Linked DNA regions of Rhinolophus ferrumequinum. The protein of the gene in region 2 interacts with the protein of the main gene of each other region in a pairwise test. Links are inferred from orthologs where the notes say so. Each region holds a gene or a part of one and is shown on either strand. Other genes may lie near its edges.

The links.
Region 1: the proteins of GTPBP3 (region 2) and PARP11 interact in binary tests that used the Homo sapiens proteins (3 or more experiments, as listed by UniProt). The two-hybrid records come from large-scale screens. The link is inferred for Rhinolophus ferrumequinum from reciprocal best matches to the Homo sapiens genes GTPBP3 and PARP11.

The regions. Positions count from the first base shown.
Region 1 is NC_046293.1:86,965,689-86,973,974, reverse strand, and holds the start of PARP11 (protein mono-ADP-ribosyltransferase PARP11), read right to left. Parts: upstream 3,470-8,286; 5' UTR 3,284-3,469; intron 3,225-3,283; exon of another isoform or gene 3,101-3,224; intron 1-3,100. UniProt on the Homo sapiens protein: Mono-ADP-ribosyltransferase that mediates mono-ADP-ribosylation of target proteins. Plays a role in nuclear envelope stability and nuclear remodeling during spermiogenesis. Inhibits the type I interferon activated signaling pathway.
Region 2 is NC_046301.1:50,528,294-50,536,360, reverse strand, and holds the start of GTPBP3 (tRNA modification GTPase GTPBP3, mitochondrial), read right to left. Parts: upstream 3,476-8,067; 5' UTR 3,366-3,475; coding exon 3,313-3,365; intron 3,011-3,312; coding exon 2,763-3,010; intron 2,661-2,762; coding exon 2,574-2,660; intron 2,494-2,573; coding exon 2,291-2,493; intron 2,124-2,290; coding exon 2,051-2,123; intron 1,956-2,050; coding exon 1,812-1,955; intron 1,659-1,811; coding exon 1,493-1,658; intron 1,186-1,492; coding exon 907-1,185; intron 737-906; coding exon 511-736; 3' UTR 1-510. Other genes in the region: ANO8 (anoctamin-8), read left to right, coding at 5,738-5,843, 6,607-6,717, 6,848-6,980, 7,162-7,300, 7,378-7,474. UniProt on the Homo sapiens protein: GTPase component of the GTPBP3-MTO1 complex that catalyzes the 5-taurinomethyluridine (taum(5)U) modification at the 34th wobble position (U34) of mitochondrial tRNAs (mt-tRNAs), which plays a role in mt-tRNA decoding and mitochondrial translation.

The DNA.
Region 1 (8,286 bases), on a different chromosome or scaffold from region 2:
GTCGCTGACCTCATGACTGGATTGAAAAATAAAATTGTGTACTTAAATAAGTTTTTGTAGCTCCTGGGTTATCTTGTTTTGGGTTTTTCCCCCAAGAAAATGCTGCAAGCTCAGTGGTGATTTTCCACTCAAACCATGTCATGGAGACTTTTCACCTGGAAGGGGCGGCTATCTCTGAATATTACTGGGTCAGTGTAAACATGTCCAGTAGTTTTGTTGTAAACATCTGTGCGGCAAGCATTTCGCCACAAGCATTTCACAGCACAACTAATTGACAATAAGGCAATTTCTCCGTAAAAGATAAAAGAATGAAAAATTAAAGAGAAATATTAAAAAGTATACAATAAAACATGAAAAATTAATCACAAAATTAAAAAGACTTTATTGCAAAAAATGGAAATATATTGTCTTCGAAGTCTTGCGCTCATACATTTTTTGTTTGTGTGCTGATTTGTCTCCTCGTTCAGCACTGCACTTTTCTTTTTCACTAACTTCATTAAGAGAGGTATGAGTTTCTAACAAAAGAACAGATAATGCTAAGACTGCTGTGAATTAGTCATTACTTCTTTTATGTTTAATAGCTTGGTAAACTTGATTTTGATGGGTGGGAGGGATGACTGCTCACTGAAGGATTTGCAAAAACTGGCATGTGACCATTTTCTAGTATAGTATGCAATCTGGCCAAGATTTATGTAATATAAAAATGGGAGTACTGTGAGGACATTGTCAATGGAGAAACGAAACCAAACTGACAGCTGGCTTAAATACCTTAAGTCTGAAAGCAAGTGATTCATCAGTGGAGAAATGAAACCAAACTGTCAACCAGTTATTTAAATCTTTTATAGCGAAAATGCCTTACCGCCAATTAGTTGTGTGGTAAAAATGTTTGCTGTGAAAATGCTTGCAACAAAAACATTTCTGGCAAAGATGTTTACGGTGAAACTACCTAGAACCCAGCGTAGTATTTCCTCAAAACACTTGTGAGTGGAATACAGTATCATACAGAAGGTATATTTGCAACAGTAGGTATATTTGCAGATCTTAAGGACATGGATGCTAACAAAAAGATACAGGGAGAAACTAGGCAGAAGTCTTCAATTAAAACAGTTTACAATGACCTTCCTTCACAGAGAATTTATTCTCTCATTCAATGGAAAGAAATGATAAGCAATTACTTAAATTGGTGGGGAATCCAAAAGTCATCTGCATTTATCTTTAGGATCATTGTGGGGTTTTTTACATTTCACCAATGGTGTCTGGTTTACAGAAAGATTAAAATTAATTTTCATTCTATGAGCATAGCTGGACAGACTATCCAGATGCCCCTTCTATGAAAAGAAACTAACAAATGACTTTGAGATATCCACATGCAGAATGTTGACTGTAATTTTAAAAACTAAACTGTCTTTATTGACAGCATTCATATGTTCATAGAAAGAAAAACAGTATTAGTAAGTAAATAAGGTAGCATTAAGACATTAGGGTGGTATAAGGGTTAAAAGAAATGGGATTATATGTGGAAGGTTCACCACTGTTAATAAAAGCCAGTATACTCTACTGAAATCAAGGAAAATCGTTAGATTTCAGAGAAAACAGCATTTCTTACAAAGAAATGAGGTAATGATATAATAAACCAAATATGAGAAATTCACTAATCCTTTATAATCCTCACAAACACACAAATGATCCAATAACAAATGCTGATGTGTAAGTGATGGAAGAGGGAGACTCAACAGTGGGAGCAAAGGACTCTCTCTAGTACTAATTCAATCACCTTTGTTAATGCAACAAATATTTACAGAGGGCCTACTAGCTGTGCCAGGTCCGCTCTCTAGTCTGAGGATACCATAGTAAACAAAAAGACAAAAACCCCTGCCGATTATGGAGCTTAGAATATAGTCAAGGATTTAAAACATGTAACTGAGCAAGACATGTATTTGGGTGACTAAAAGGTTTGTTATGGAGAAACTAAGACGAGAAAGACTGCCACTGCCAATACAAAGTGCGAGCGCACACACACACACACACACACACACACACACCAAAATGAAGATTGTTGATGACAAATAGTGAAAGTACATATATAAGCAGAAAGCACATTCTCATAATTCTAAATTATGTTGGCTAAAATCAAATACTAGCAACTACTTTCCTCTGATGTGGCCTGGTATTAGAGGATTATAGGTATGAACAAAAAATAAATAAATGAATAAATAAATCTTAGATGATGACCACTGTTAGGTGATGTACTGAGATGAAACCACAATGGGCAACCAACGAATGCACACCAACACACTAGTTTCTGTTGGATAAAAACTAACAGAATTAACTGACAAACTCTCTAATTTATCTGGAAATATATTCCAGACATGGAAGAAGTACTGATTACATCAAAGGAGTTTTTGCAAGTATGCAAACAGAATTATAAAATAAATTTAGGCAGATCTCTCAGCATATCGGGTAGTTCCACATATTTAGTCCAACAATTTGCTGAAATGTGGTTCTGCCACTTTTCCAGTCAACTCATAAGGCGTAAATAGTGTACAGTTACCATGTTACTAAGCGATGTCAACTCTACCAAGAGATTATTGGAATAGTCTTGGCAAACATATTCCACTCTTTGAGGGCTGCACATTAAATAAATAAATGTATAACAACAAAACAGACAAAAAATACACGTAGGCACAATGCATATACCGGAATCAAACAAGAAGGAGGGAGACAAGACTTGCAGTTGAAATGTTCCAGGTCATCAGTTCTGTCCACTGAAAAAGAAACATCTAAGAACTTCACCATCTAGAAGCTTAGAACAAACACTCGGTCCCCCAAGTTTTACATGGCTGTCCACCAAGAGGGGAAAAGGAGTACTGACGGTTCCTCCGAGGCCCATTCAAGGCACGGGGGTCCGATCCCCTAGCTTTAGATGGGTGGGACTGGCAGGTACACCTAAGGCAAAGGAGTAACAGGTCCGAAGCCCAGTAACTCCAATTAGAAAACAAAACACAAAGTTTAAAAAGGTGAAGGGAGGGAGGCGGAGAAACCAAAGCAAGCAAAATAAATAACTAATAATAGGACAACAATCCAGCGTCGGAGAACCCACCGAGCCATCTCCACCATTCAAACAGGCAGAGGCCAGGAGAAGCCGCAAGGGCCGGGGTCCTCGAGCCCGGAATTCAACATCCAGCCTGAAGCGGGTGAGGGGGGAGCAGGGCCGGGGAACCCCCTCCCGCCCCTCCCATCAACCCCGCCCATTGGGTCCGCCCCGTCCCGCCCGGCTACTCACCGGATTCGCTTCCCACATAACGGTGGCGAAATCGAGCGGAGAGAGCCTAGGGGAAGGGGCTAGCCGCGGGGCCGGGGTGTTGGGGTTTGTTCCGAGGGTGCCCGGGAGCGAAGTGATGGAGAGGAACCTTTACGCAGGCCTTCCTTCTCCCCCTCTGTCACAAGCCAGCGTCTGCGGACCACCTAACCTCCGACTTCCGCCCGAAGCCGGCCAACCAGCGCCGGCCCCGCCCCGCCCCCGGAAACTCGCCCCGCCCCCTGCCCGTTTCCGGGCTCCGCCGGCCGGACGGAAAGCCCCGGGCGTGCGAGTGTCTGGGTTGTAAAGGGGTTTAAAGGGCTTCTAGTGCAACCAGCCTTCTAGCGCTAAATCCCCACCGCAATCTCCCACCCAGGGATCCTCGAGCCACAGTTGGTTAGATTTCCTTCAATGTTGATTGATTACCGTACAATGTGTGTAAGGGGCCACGAGGCAGACAGGCCTGGGAATTGATCCCAACGCAACCAGTGGCATTTGGGATAAGCTTCACAATCTCACTCTCAGTTTCCTCATCTTCAGAATGGAGATGATAATGCTATCTACCTAGGGGTGTAATGACACCTTTTAAAGCACTTAGCACAGTATTCAGCATTTAGTAAACGCTCGGTAAGTGACAGTTATTTGCCAGACACTGCTAGGCTCTGGCTGGAGTGAACAAGACTGATCCGTATGTAGTCCGTGCCCTCATTCATGGAGCTTAGAGTCCAAAGGAAAAAACAAAAAGTAAGTAATTTAGATCAATAAAAAGGTGCAGTATGGTTTATGGGTACTATGGCAAGTACACAGGGTTCCATGAGAGCGTGCTCACCTAGGATAGGGGTCCGCGGCCCCCCCCCCCCACCTTTCTCCCTAAGAAGTTTAAGCTAAGACCTCAAGGATGTACTCCTTTCGAAGTTACCTGGGTAAAGAGAGCTAAGAGAGGGGATGAATCTTCTAGGCAAAGAAGTAGAATCTACCCATGGGAAATGAAAAACCGTTTGCTACAGATCCTTCTGGGCTTTTCTATACCTTCACACATCAAAACAAAAATTGATCAATGACTACCTACAGATTTAAAACCTGATATTTTCACTTAATATGTGTGGATTTTCTTTATTCCATACATATATGAGTAAATCTATTTCATCATTTTAAAGTCATCATTTTACAGTCTCATGGCATTCCATGGTTTGTATGTATGTTACACATTTGAAATAATCCATTGTGATAGACATTTAAGTGTTTTTCAATTTTCTACTATTCCAAAAAAAAGCAATATTCTTTTTTTTTTTTTTTAGGTTTTTAAAATAACGTTTATTTTTTAAAAGTTAACATATGCATATAATAGGAAACTAGAAAACACAAGAAGCAAAGTACAAGGTCATCCATAATCACAAGCAGGTTACAGTTTGGCATGTCTTTCTAGGTCCCCTGTGTGTATTTATACAACAAAGCGTCCATTATTAAGTAATTAAGATCACACAGTTATGTATCAAGCCTTTTTACACATCATGAATATTTACCATTTCAAAGTCCCAAAGCTATACGAGTATTCTGATAACCAAGAATATACTACACCAACTAAATCTGGAAGAGGAAAAAAAAAAATGTAATCCTGCCTTTCTTGGCAACAAAACTTTCATAAAGGACAAAAATGGCAACAGGCCTCTACTTAAAGATACTGGCAGAGTTACAATTAAAATACTGCATTCCTTTAACGTTCAATTAAAAATGAGGCATAAAGCAACAGAGTATAAAAAGTATAATGCTTCTAAGAGAATTCATTATGATCTATACTTTTAAAATAGTAGCAAGGAGGCAAGTTTCCACTGAAATACTTAACAATGTATTCCTAGAGTCCAGCTAAAAGAGATGCACACACATTAGTGGTTATCATTACAATGTAAATATGAGCACATCCACACACTTCCCTCCCTCTATCCTTCCTTCTGCCCCTCTGCCACCAACCTAATGAACAAGTCCTGACGTGCATCTCTCAGATATGGTTTAACAGTTTCACGTGCAAGATGCCTCTTTCTTATCAATTATAACAAAAAGATATTTACAAATTGGTTAATTTAGTAGCTCTACTTTGTATCTTAGTCATCTTAGGACATCTTGAAAACCTCAGATGTTGCAAAATAAGGAATGAACCTTGTCCACAGTAAACGTAGGTACTAGAATTAAATATATATACTTATAGTCACACGATGAGCACAGGATAGGGAATAGAGTCAATGGAATTGTAGCAGCTTTATACGATGTGAGAGGGTGCATAGATTGGGGGAGGAGAGTTATCACTTTGTGAGGGGTGTAAATGTCTATTACACCTGAAACTAATAAAAAATAAAAAATAAACGTAGGTACTTTCCAAAATGCACGTAGGTACTTTACCAAAATATAGACTTATGGTTATAACTTAAAACTATCTTCTAGATATGGATATACTAGCAAAGAGCCCTTCCCTTCACCTTTCCTTTTTTCTTTCCTCCACCATTTCTATGATAAACATTCTTGTACTAACATTTCTGTACATTTGTCCATTTACCTCCTTAGAATTAGTTCTAAGAAATGGAATTGTTCAATGAGAGATTATGGAAATTTCAATTTTTGATATATATTGCCAAACTACACTAAAAAATAATGTGTAAATTTGCAATCTCTATTCTTATACATGGTTGAGATAGGGATCTTCACTTTACTTTTTTTCACTTTATTTTTTGCTAAATGATTAGCCAGTTGCACCAATATCACTTAACGAATAATCTATTCTTTTCCCACTACCTTAAAGTGCCACACTAATCAAAAACTAAATTTATGTGTGTGCATCTGTTTCTGAACATTCTTGTCTATTCTATTAGCTTTCTGCTTATTCCTATGCTATGCCACACTTATAATTACTATAGCTTTGTAACACATTTGCTCTCTTGTAAAGCAAGTCCTCTCCCAATTCCCTTTCAAATTTTTCAAAATCATGAATTGTCTTATTCAGGAACGCATCTCTTCATGTCTTTTATATCCATATATATATATATATATATATATATATATATATATATATATACATATATTCACATAGATTTGCATAATTCTTGGGAAGTTTGTTCCTAGATATTTTATAGTTTTTGTTGTTATTGTGAATGAGATACTTTTCATTGCTCTAAGTTAGGAAAACTGTTGGTTTTTGTGTCTTTAACTTACATCCTACTACACTGTAAAACTATATTATTAGTTCTAATAGCTTGTTAGCTGATGATGTCTCTGAATTTTTATGTTGACAATCATATCACCTACAGAAAATGCAGTTTTTTTATCTTCCTATTGCATTCCTCAGAACATTTTTGAAGAATACAGAACAAGATAATGAGCATTCAGTCTTGACTGCAGTAAGACAAACGTTTGCCCTTAGTTGGTGCTAGATGTTCTTTAAATACACAATCGTCTTTAAAGAAATTTCCTTTCATTCCTAGTTTACTGTGAGCTTTTAGTTAGAAAAGGATGTTAAATTTTATCAACTGTCTCGTAAACTCTGTTACTATATTCAGTTTTTACTCTGACTTTTAATATAATGAAATATAGTAGTAGATTTCCTAATGTTCAAGCTATGCGTACATTCTTGAAATAAACTCTGCTTCATCATGTATTCATTATTCTCTGAATACACTACTGGGTTCAATTCATTAATTTTTTTTTCAATTCATTAATTTTTTAATTACGATTAAAATTTATTTATAATTAATGAAATTGCTCCATTGTTAATGATGATTTTTTTATTATTGTCTTTAGCAAGTTTGGTTAATGAACAATAGCAATTTAAGTAATTTAGGAATTAGCTCTTCATCAAAGGTGGAGTGGACTTCTAAAAGCAAATGCAACTGAAAAGATTAGGACCAGCTCCTCAACCTTTTGTGAGGTTGGACTGTACTTCATTTCCTTGAAGCCTTGAGTTGCCTAAGCTGGAGGTCAGAGAATGGGATGGAGCGAACACAACTGCTTTAGATATACAGGGTCTGACAATTAAGTTTGAGAACTTGTTGCAACGATGTTGCTAACCTTTTTTGATATCAGAGGGATTATTCATTATAAATTTGTAACAACTGGACAAACAGTTAACCAAGTTTACTGTTTGAAAGTGCTGAAAAGCCTGCATGAAAACGTTAGACGACCTGAACTTTTCACCAACAGTTCATGGCTCTTACATCACGACAATGCACCAGCTCAAATGGCATTATCTGCAAGGGAATTTTTAGCCAGTAAACAAATAACTGTATTGGAACACCCTCCCTACTCACCTGATCTGGCCCCAATGACTTCTTTCTTTACCCGAAGATAAAGGAAATTTTGAAAGGAAGACAGCTCTGATGGCCATTCCAGAAAATGAGTTCCAAAATTGCTTTGAAGTGTGTACTAGGCACTGGCGTCGATGCTTCCCAAGGGGAGTACTTTAAAGGTGACCGTAGTGATATTTAACAATGAGGTATGGAGCACTTTTTCCAGGATGAGGTCGCAAACTTAATTGTCAGACCTCGTATATCAGATGGATAAGCTTTTGAAATATACCGCCATATCCCAAAGTAATATGGAGGAAGCATATTTCATAAACTGAAAATAGCTGTGCAAACTTTAGTAATAAGTTTTCTCTTATTACACTTAATTTATAACCACTTAGAGAGCAAGTATGGAAAACAAGCTTAATGATCATTTAGTCTTGGGGTGGCAAACTGATAGCTAGTGAGCTTTAGCATACAGAGTATTTAAAATTTTTAATAAATGAGCCACATTTTAAAACTGGGAAATTTCACATTAAATAATGTGGATTTCCAGCTTCCCTTCAACACTGTATTCGTATATGCCGACAAGTGGCCTAATCCTGCTGTCCCATTTAGGCTGGGAATGGGCTGTCAGATTTACCTGAGCTACCAGGTCACTATCTCCGCCTCATGTAAATAAACTACCTGGGTTCTGGTGGTATGTGTGTTCGTACAAAA
Region 2 (8,067 bases):
TGAGCAATAAACACACAATGTATATAGAAAATACAAGACAAAACATATTATTTTACAGGTGCATCCACAAGTATGCAAACACTCTGAGAAAGTTCTAGAAGGACACAAGTTAAACCATGACCCTAGTGGTGGGGTGAGGGAGATTTCTACATTTAAACATTTCAGGATCACCTGAGTTTTTTATATTCCTTTGGAATTTGCAAAATAAATGAAAAACTATTAAACAAAGACCCCTGAGACCCTCCTACCTCCCTCCCAATTGCTACTCCCCCAGCATAAGGCGCCCAAAGGGATCTCTGTTCAGCCCCCCTCGAGGGCCTGAACTTCCAGCAAGTCCCTGCAAGGCAATCTGTCCAGCTAGAGCTTGGTCACCACCAGCAGCAGGGAGTTCACTCACTTTGGGGTCAAGTTCTTCCCAGGGGATAAGAATCTCACTTGGCCTAAGCTGCTCCTGGATGCCTCCAGGCTTCTGGGCACCCACCCAGCCTGGTCTGAGCTTCAGCAGTCCCCTCACTTGCCCACACAGAAGTCCCGGAAGATAATGTCCAGGATCTCCTCGGTGCCCCCTCCACTGGTGAGGTGGGCCAGGTGCCCCCGGGCGACCCGCAGTGCCTCGGCCGCCAGGGATACATCTTTAGCTTGCTTGTAATGGCCGAGAGCATCCAGGCAGCCCTGGAGGTGATGCTGGTGCCTTGCCCGCGTCAGAAGTGGTGGGCCTGTGGACGGATCTCCACAACTGGAAATGACAAAGAACATGGTCTCTCTTAACCTTTGCACCACCACTCAGAGGATGATCATACCCATTCTGCAGATATCGAAACTGAGCCTGTGGGCAAGTATGTGCCCAGAGCCAGGGACTCAGCCCTCACTTGAACCTGGGTAGAGGGAGGTTGTGGGGTGGCTCACACTGCAGCCAGCTCCTTCCGCAGCGCCTCCAGGAGGTCGTCCAGCCCTTCCCCCGTCAGGCAGGACAGCAGCAGGTGAGGGGGCAGGTCAGGACTTGGGTATGGGCCCCCAGGGGGCAGCAGGTCTGACTTGTTTAGCACCAACACGAGACGTTGGCTGTTTCCATCGGGGCTCCGGCCTGCCGCGGGGTTGACAACCACGTCCAGGAAGTTGCAGCTGGACGGAGAGGCTAGGTCAGAGGCGTCCAGCACTGCAAGGATGACGTCAGCCTGCTCCAGCCTGGGGGAGCAGGGAGAACCAACTGAGCAGTGACCCCAGAGTACAGCAATTAAGGGCACTGGGCAGAATGGAGAGCCAGGCAAGCAGAGCGCTGGGGGCAGAGCACTGCGTGAGGGGCGGGGCAGAGCGTGAGAGGTGGGGCAGAAAATGTGGGCAGAGGCCAAAATCTAAGGGCTGGCCTACCCAAATCATGGAGTCCCCACTCAATCTTCTGATTCAGAAAGAAAGAAAAACAAATGCAACAGGGAGAAAGGGAGAGGAAGGCCCCACTCATTTCCTCCTCCCACCACCCACCCACTTCACCCACCTCTCGCGGGCACGCCGCACACCCTCCTGCTCCACTAGCCCCGTGCCCTCCCGCAACCCTGCCGTGTCGCTCAGGAGTGCCGGGAACCCGGCCAGGTCCACAGGGGTCTCCAACACATCTCGGGTGGTCCCTGGCTCTGGGGACACGATGGACACAGGCTTCCGGCCTGAAAATGGGGAGGAGGTCAGTAAAGGGGAGGGAGCACCTCCCCCAAGCTCATGCCCCTGGCTGAACAGAGCTTTCTAACTCCCTAACCCCTTCCCCACATCTGACTAGCTCAGTTCCACCGGCCCCTGCTCCAGCCCCACCTCCCACGCACTGAGCAGGTTCACTAGGCTGCTCTTGCCGGCGTTGGGGGGTCCCGCGACCACCACGTGAGCCCCTGAGCGGAGCCTCTGCCCACGCCTGGCATCTCGAAGATGTGCGCCCAGTGCCACCTCCAGCTCCCGCACTTGGCTGTCAGCTGTGGATGGAGGAAAGCAGAGGGGAGCGAGTGAGGGGTCTCCTGGGGGCTGAGATGCCAGATGTCCCCACGCCTCCACCCCCAGGTGGACCCACCTCGTTCCAGGACGCCCTCCTCCAGGTCGTCATCCTCCCCAAAGTCGATATAGGCCTCCACATGGGCCAGAGCCTAGGGGAGGGGTGGTAGGGACTGTCATCACCTAGGAACCCAGCCCCCCAATTTGCCCAGGTCCAACCCCACCTAAGGGTCTGATTGGAGGTTCACAGACCAGCTTTCACACAGGGGATGGACAGGTTGGGGTCTCTGAGACAGAGACTGTGCAAATGGAGACTTGCCTTAGTGAGGGTGTCCGCCCAGCCCCGGCAGAGGTGACCCAGTTCCCCGTCCAGCTGCCTCAGGGCCTGCCGCCGCTGTGCCTCAGTTTCCGCATGGATCAGATCTGCCAGCCCCTCCACTTCAGTCAGGCTCAGCTTCCCGTGGGCGAAGGCCCGCCTGGTGAACTCTCCTGCCTCCGCTGGCCGCAGCCCTGGCACCCTGCCTGGGGGACGGTCCCAAGTACTGAGCACCTGGCCCCCACGCAGGCCCCCGGTAGACTCTAACTCAAGGCTGCAGACTCACCCAGGGCCTGCAGGACGCCACTCACCACCGCCGGGCCTCCATGCACGTGGAACTCCGCGCAGTCCTCACCCGTGAAACTCTGGGGACCTGATGTGGCGAGGAGTCAAGAGGGCATAGTCTGAGCAAACGCTTGGGAGGGTCAACTGAGTCATGGGAGCTACAGGAGGTTCAGGACCTGGAGCCCCTCACCTGGGAACCACAGCACTAGCGCGCGGTCCAACGGCTCCCCGGAGCGGGGGTCGCTGAGTAGGCGCAGGCAGGCCCTGCGAGCCTGGGGCAAGTCCCGGGGCGCCGTGAGGCTTCGGAGGGCGTGGCCGCTGGCGGGGCCGCTGGTCCGAATCACAGCGATGCCGCAGCGGCCTTGGCCGGAACTCAGCGCGAAAATGGTGGCCCCGGATCCGGGGACCGGAGTGCGGCTGCCCTGGCGCGTGCACGGTCTGAGACAGGAGAGGAGAGTCAGTGCGTCTGGCTCTGCTGCAGAGTGGCAGGTGGATAGAGGGTTCGATGGTCGAGAAATGACCCCAACTGGAGGCCCTGAGGCCAGAGGGTGACTGGATTGAGGACTGAGGCCAGATAACCTATATGTGGGTTCTGAGGCGGGGGGAATGAAGAGATTGGGGCTTGCAAGAACTAGAAAGGTGGCCTTGCCGCAGGGAACTAGGCCCCCAGGTCCCAGAGAGAGGATTTGGGGCCCAAGAAGCGCCCCACGCTGTCACAGCCCTTTCCCGGGTCACCCCACCTGAGAGGCCCACGAGCCGCCCGGGCTACCAGGGTCAAGAGCCCCCGCCACATGGGTTCCCCGCCAGCCGCTCGCCCGCGCACTCTTCCTGGGAGGCTTCAGTCCAGGCAGGAGGCCCCGCCTACTCCGCAGCGTGACTGGCAAGGTGCTCAACGATTCTCGACTACCATTGGGCCCCCAAAAGACGTACCGCCCACCCACTGAAGATCTTCGTTTCTATTGGCTGTGTCCAGGGACAGAGGCGGGGGTCGGGCTGCGCTCGGGGAAGCCCCGAAATAGCGTTCCCCCTGGCAACATGAGGCCGAATTTTTAGGATCCTAGAGCTGTCGGGATCCGAGATACCGGAAACGAAGAGCAGAAGGAATACAGGCACTGGGCGGTGGGAATTACAGTGAGGCGAGAGTTCTCTGAGCTAGTCATCCGTAGCCTTACGCGAAGCAAAAGCATCTCAGTGGCTCAGAGGGATGAGTTCCGGAGAACCCACACAGTGGCGCTGGGAAAATCTTGTCCAAACTTCTGGGAAGACGCCTTCTTGTTTTCCCGGAACAGTCCAGGTTTCCGCCCCTCACCAGCTTTCCCTTCCGCCGTTTCCTCGGCCTCGAATACCCTTCCTCACTTCACAAACTCGTCCTCAGGGCCAGCTCAAGGTCCCCTCCGCCAGAAACCCTTCCTGGAACCCTCAGCACAGCCCTCTCTTCCCTCTGTGCCTCCCTGGCCTAGGTCTGCACCTGCAAAGCTGAATGTCGTCTGTCTCTGCCCCCCCCCCAAAAAAAAGGGGAGTCTAGGACATTACTTTCAGGGTAACCCAGGAGAGCGCTGGATCTAGGCGTAATAAAGCGTTGAGGGTGGAATTCCTGGCACTGTCTGGGCGGGGTCTCAGGGGCGCTTTCGCATGGCCAATTCTCTGGTTCTTGGACGGAGCGGGCGGGCGGCTCACTTGCACTTTGGGAAGAATCTGTTGGACGGGCTAGAGTTCTAATTCCCCCCACAGCGCTGCTCTGCTCAACTTTTACATTTGTAGAACAGGGCGGAACAATGACATTCGCCGTCTCCGAGTTGCTCCATTTGTCACAAGTATACATCAAGCGCCTACTGTTTGCATTCTGAGAACCAGACCGGGCCCCTGCCCTGGCTGGGCTCTAACGGAGGAGACGTCTCAGGATGCGCAGGTCTTCAAGTTACACCCAAAAGACGGGATGCCCAGTCAAATGTGAATTTCGAATAAACAGAGAATAACGTTGGGTCCCATATAATATTTGGAACATACTAAAAATTTCTTCGTTTATCTGAAATTCATATTTGTAAAAAATAATATAAACGGAGCCACTTTAAAATGGAGCCAGAGCTGCCATCTCCAAAGAACTGCCTGTACGTCTTAAGCCTCAAATCTTTGGGATGTTAAAACAGGGTAAAACAACCTTTAGATTGGGCTTAAGCAAACTTGTTTCCCAAAGAAATGTTTGCACAGGTAACAAGAAAGCAGATATTATGACCATTGGACTGCAAATTTAAGACATTGTTTAGAATTAACATCAGTATGTTACCTGCACCAATAGAAATGCCTTCCTTCTGTCGATGTAATTGTGCCCCTTCCCTTTCTTATAAATACCCATTGCCTTTATTTCCTAATTGAAACATTATTTGGGCTTCTGCTCTAATCAGTCCATCCCGAATAGCTGTTTTTATTGATCTTAAATAAACACTTTTTCTCACTTTGAAAGGACTTTTATTTTTAGGTTAACATATCTAATTGGGAGGACTGTATTTTTATTTGCTAAATTGGCAACTCTATCTGGTCCTCTTTGAGGTTACATCCTGAAGAATGCCAGGTTGAACTGGACAAAGGGGGTGAAGGGTGTCCTTGGCAATGTCCTAGAGCATATGCTAAAGCCCTGACGCAGAACCTGCTATAATTATTCACATTCCAGCTGTGGTGGTTAAAGTCATCGTCACCCGGAATCTTCCCAGACCAGGCCTTCCCCACTCACATCCAGTTGTAATCAAATCACACCCATCTCAAATCCCAAATGCACCTTTTCAGAGAGGAAACTCAGGCGGGGAATCCGGGGCGCGCGGGTACGAGACCCAGAATTCGGCGCGGGCAGGCACAACCCGGGTGCACCTTCGGTGCGGGCGGGAACGAGCACCAGAAACCGATGTGGGCGGGCGAGAACGAAACCCAGAAAACAACGCGGGCGGAGTCGAGAACCCTAGAGCGACGTGCGCAGGGCCCAGCTGGAGACTCGAGGTTCGGCGCGCGCGGGGACGAGAAGCAGCGCTCGGGCACGCGGGGACGGCGGCCCGCGCGGGCGGGTGCGGCCTTTGTCTACTCCTACCGCGCGCTCCGCGGCTGCACCCGCCCCATGCTCCCGCGGTCCCTCCGCGCCCCCGCCGCCCGCTGCCCCTGACCTGCCCTGCCCTCGCCATGGCCGAAGCCGCCTCTGGCTCCGGGGGCACGTCCCTGGAGGGCGAGCGCGGCAAGAGGCCCCCGCCAGAGGGCGAGCCGGCAGCCCCGGCGTCCGGAGTTCTGGGTAGGTGTGCGGCGGCTGGATCTGTCAGGGTTGCAGGTGCCTGGGGTGCTCGCGGCGGCTAAACGAGAAGGGATATTGGGGTCAGCTGTCCCCGTCCTGGAGTCCAGTGGAGGGGCAGGCTCCTCCCGACACTGCGGCTGCGACCGTGCGAGCGCGGGCGGGAGGGTGCAGCGGGGGTTGGGGGTCCCAGAGCAGAGACACGGACACGCCCCTCCGAGAACCCAGGCTCTTAGATGAGCCGCGTCACCCCTTAGGCTACCGGATCGCGTCCGGGCAGGGGTGCGCTTGAGAGTTCCTCTCCGCAGAGGGTACAGAATCATACAGTCCTGGGTTCGAATCCCAGCTTGGCTGTGTGACCTTGGGCGCATTACTTAAATGCTTTGGGCTTCTGTTTCCCCATCTGTGAAATGGGGGTAAAAACCGCACCCAGCTGTGAGGATGCGCTGACATACTGTGGTGAAGTGCTCAGGGTTGCGAGTGAGCGCCCCATCCATTGTGGTTTTGGAGGCGGAGCTGGGCCTCAAGAATGAGTAAGATTTGTAAGTGAGGGCCTGGGGGAAGGGCATTTCAGAAGGAGGGCCCTCTGGTGCAAGGACGTGAAGGGAAGGAAACAAGCCAAGGCTAGAGCTCACAGGGCCTTGAATGCCAGGCTGAGTGCTCAGGAGCCCTGGTGAGTTTGTGAGCAGGGGCAAGGGCTGGAGGCCAGGCTCTCTCCGTTCCCTCTGGGAGTGGCCTGACCCCAGGTGTCCCGCCTGCCCCCCAGATAAGCTTTTTGGAAAGCGGCTCCTGCAAGCTGGTCGATACCTGGTGTCCCACAAAGCGTGGATGAAGACTGTGCCCACGGAGAACTGCGACGTGCTGATGACCTTCCCAGGTACCTGTGCCCACCCGCCCAGTGCCCAGACAGGGCTCCCCTGAGCTGGGCTCCCCTGAGTGGGAGTCTGTCTGTAGGAGGCCTCGGACCCTCCGTGACAAGAGCCATCAGTCCCTGTGCCCCTTGGCAGACACAACGGATGACCACACGCTGCTATGGCTGCTGAACCACATCCGCGTGGGCATCCCCGAGCTCATTGTGCAAGTCCGCCACCACCGCCACACGCGTGCCTATGCCTTCTTCGTTACCGCCACGTATGAGAGGTAAGTTCCTGTCCCTGGCCTCTCTCTGAGCCTGCCGCCCAGCTCCCCACCCTTCCAAGCGCCAGCTACGAGGTCCAGCCGCTCTGTGTTTCTCCCAGGCGGCCGCCAGTTGCACTATCCCTAGCTCCAGGATGGAGAGCCAGGGTCTCCCCGTGATCCCACCTCCCCTGCCCTCCCGCAGCCTACTCCGAGGGGCCGACGAGCTGGGTCTGCGCAAAGCAGTGAAGGCTGAGTTTGGCGGGGGTACCCGCGGCTTCTCCTGCGAGGAGGACTTCATCTATGAAAATGTGGAGAGTGAGCTGCGCTTCTTCACCTCCCAGGTGCGCCAGCTCAGCCCCAGTACATACTCCTAACACCCAGGCGGCTACTTGCTATACTCACGCCCTGTCCCCTGCAGGAGCGCCAGAGCATCATCCGCTTCTGGCTTCAGAATCTGCGTGCCAAGCAGGGTGAGGCGCTGCACAACGTGCGCTTTCTGGAGGACCAGCCAATTAGTGAGTGAGGTGGACTAATTCTCCAATCACATGTTGGGAGTTGGGCCTAGATCCAACCAATCAGGGGCTAGTGAAGAGTTGGGCGGGGCCTGGACCCAGAGCAATGAACGAATGGGCGTGGCCTTAGCAAAGGGTAGGGCTTATTCCCCAGGAGCCAGATCCAAGAGAACCTTTTCTGGGTCTGGGATAAGGAAGGGGCAGGACCATGGACAGCACTCCATGTATATTGTGCTTGGCGGCCCTAAGCCTCAGTTTCCCCTCCAGGAAACCAGCGTCTGCAAGTTCATCTTCTGACAGCAAATTTGTACCATTCCTCAGACATTCAGAGCAATGAACTGAGGCCAATGGCTTTACTTAAAAACATGGTTCCCTACTGGGACCCCACCCTGCTAGGTTTCTTGCACCCTTCCCTGCCTGTACCTGTGCCTACACCTCTTAAATTCTGAAGGAGAACCAGATATTCCATCCACCCAGAACTCGTTCCCTGGGAAGATCTTTTGCAGGTTTAAGAGCAGACAAAAAGTTGTGACTTGGGTTTCAGCCAAGGCGGTCTGGCCAGGCCAGGCACAGGCAGAGGGGAGGGGGTTACCCAT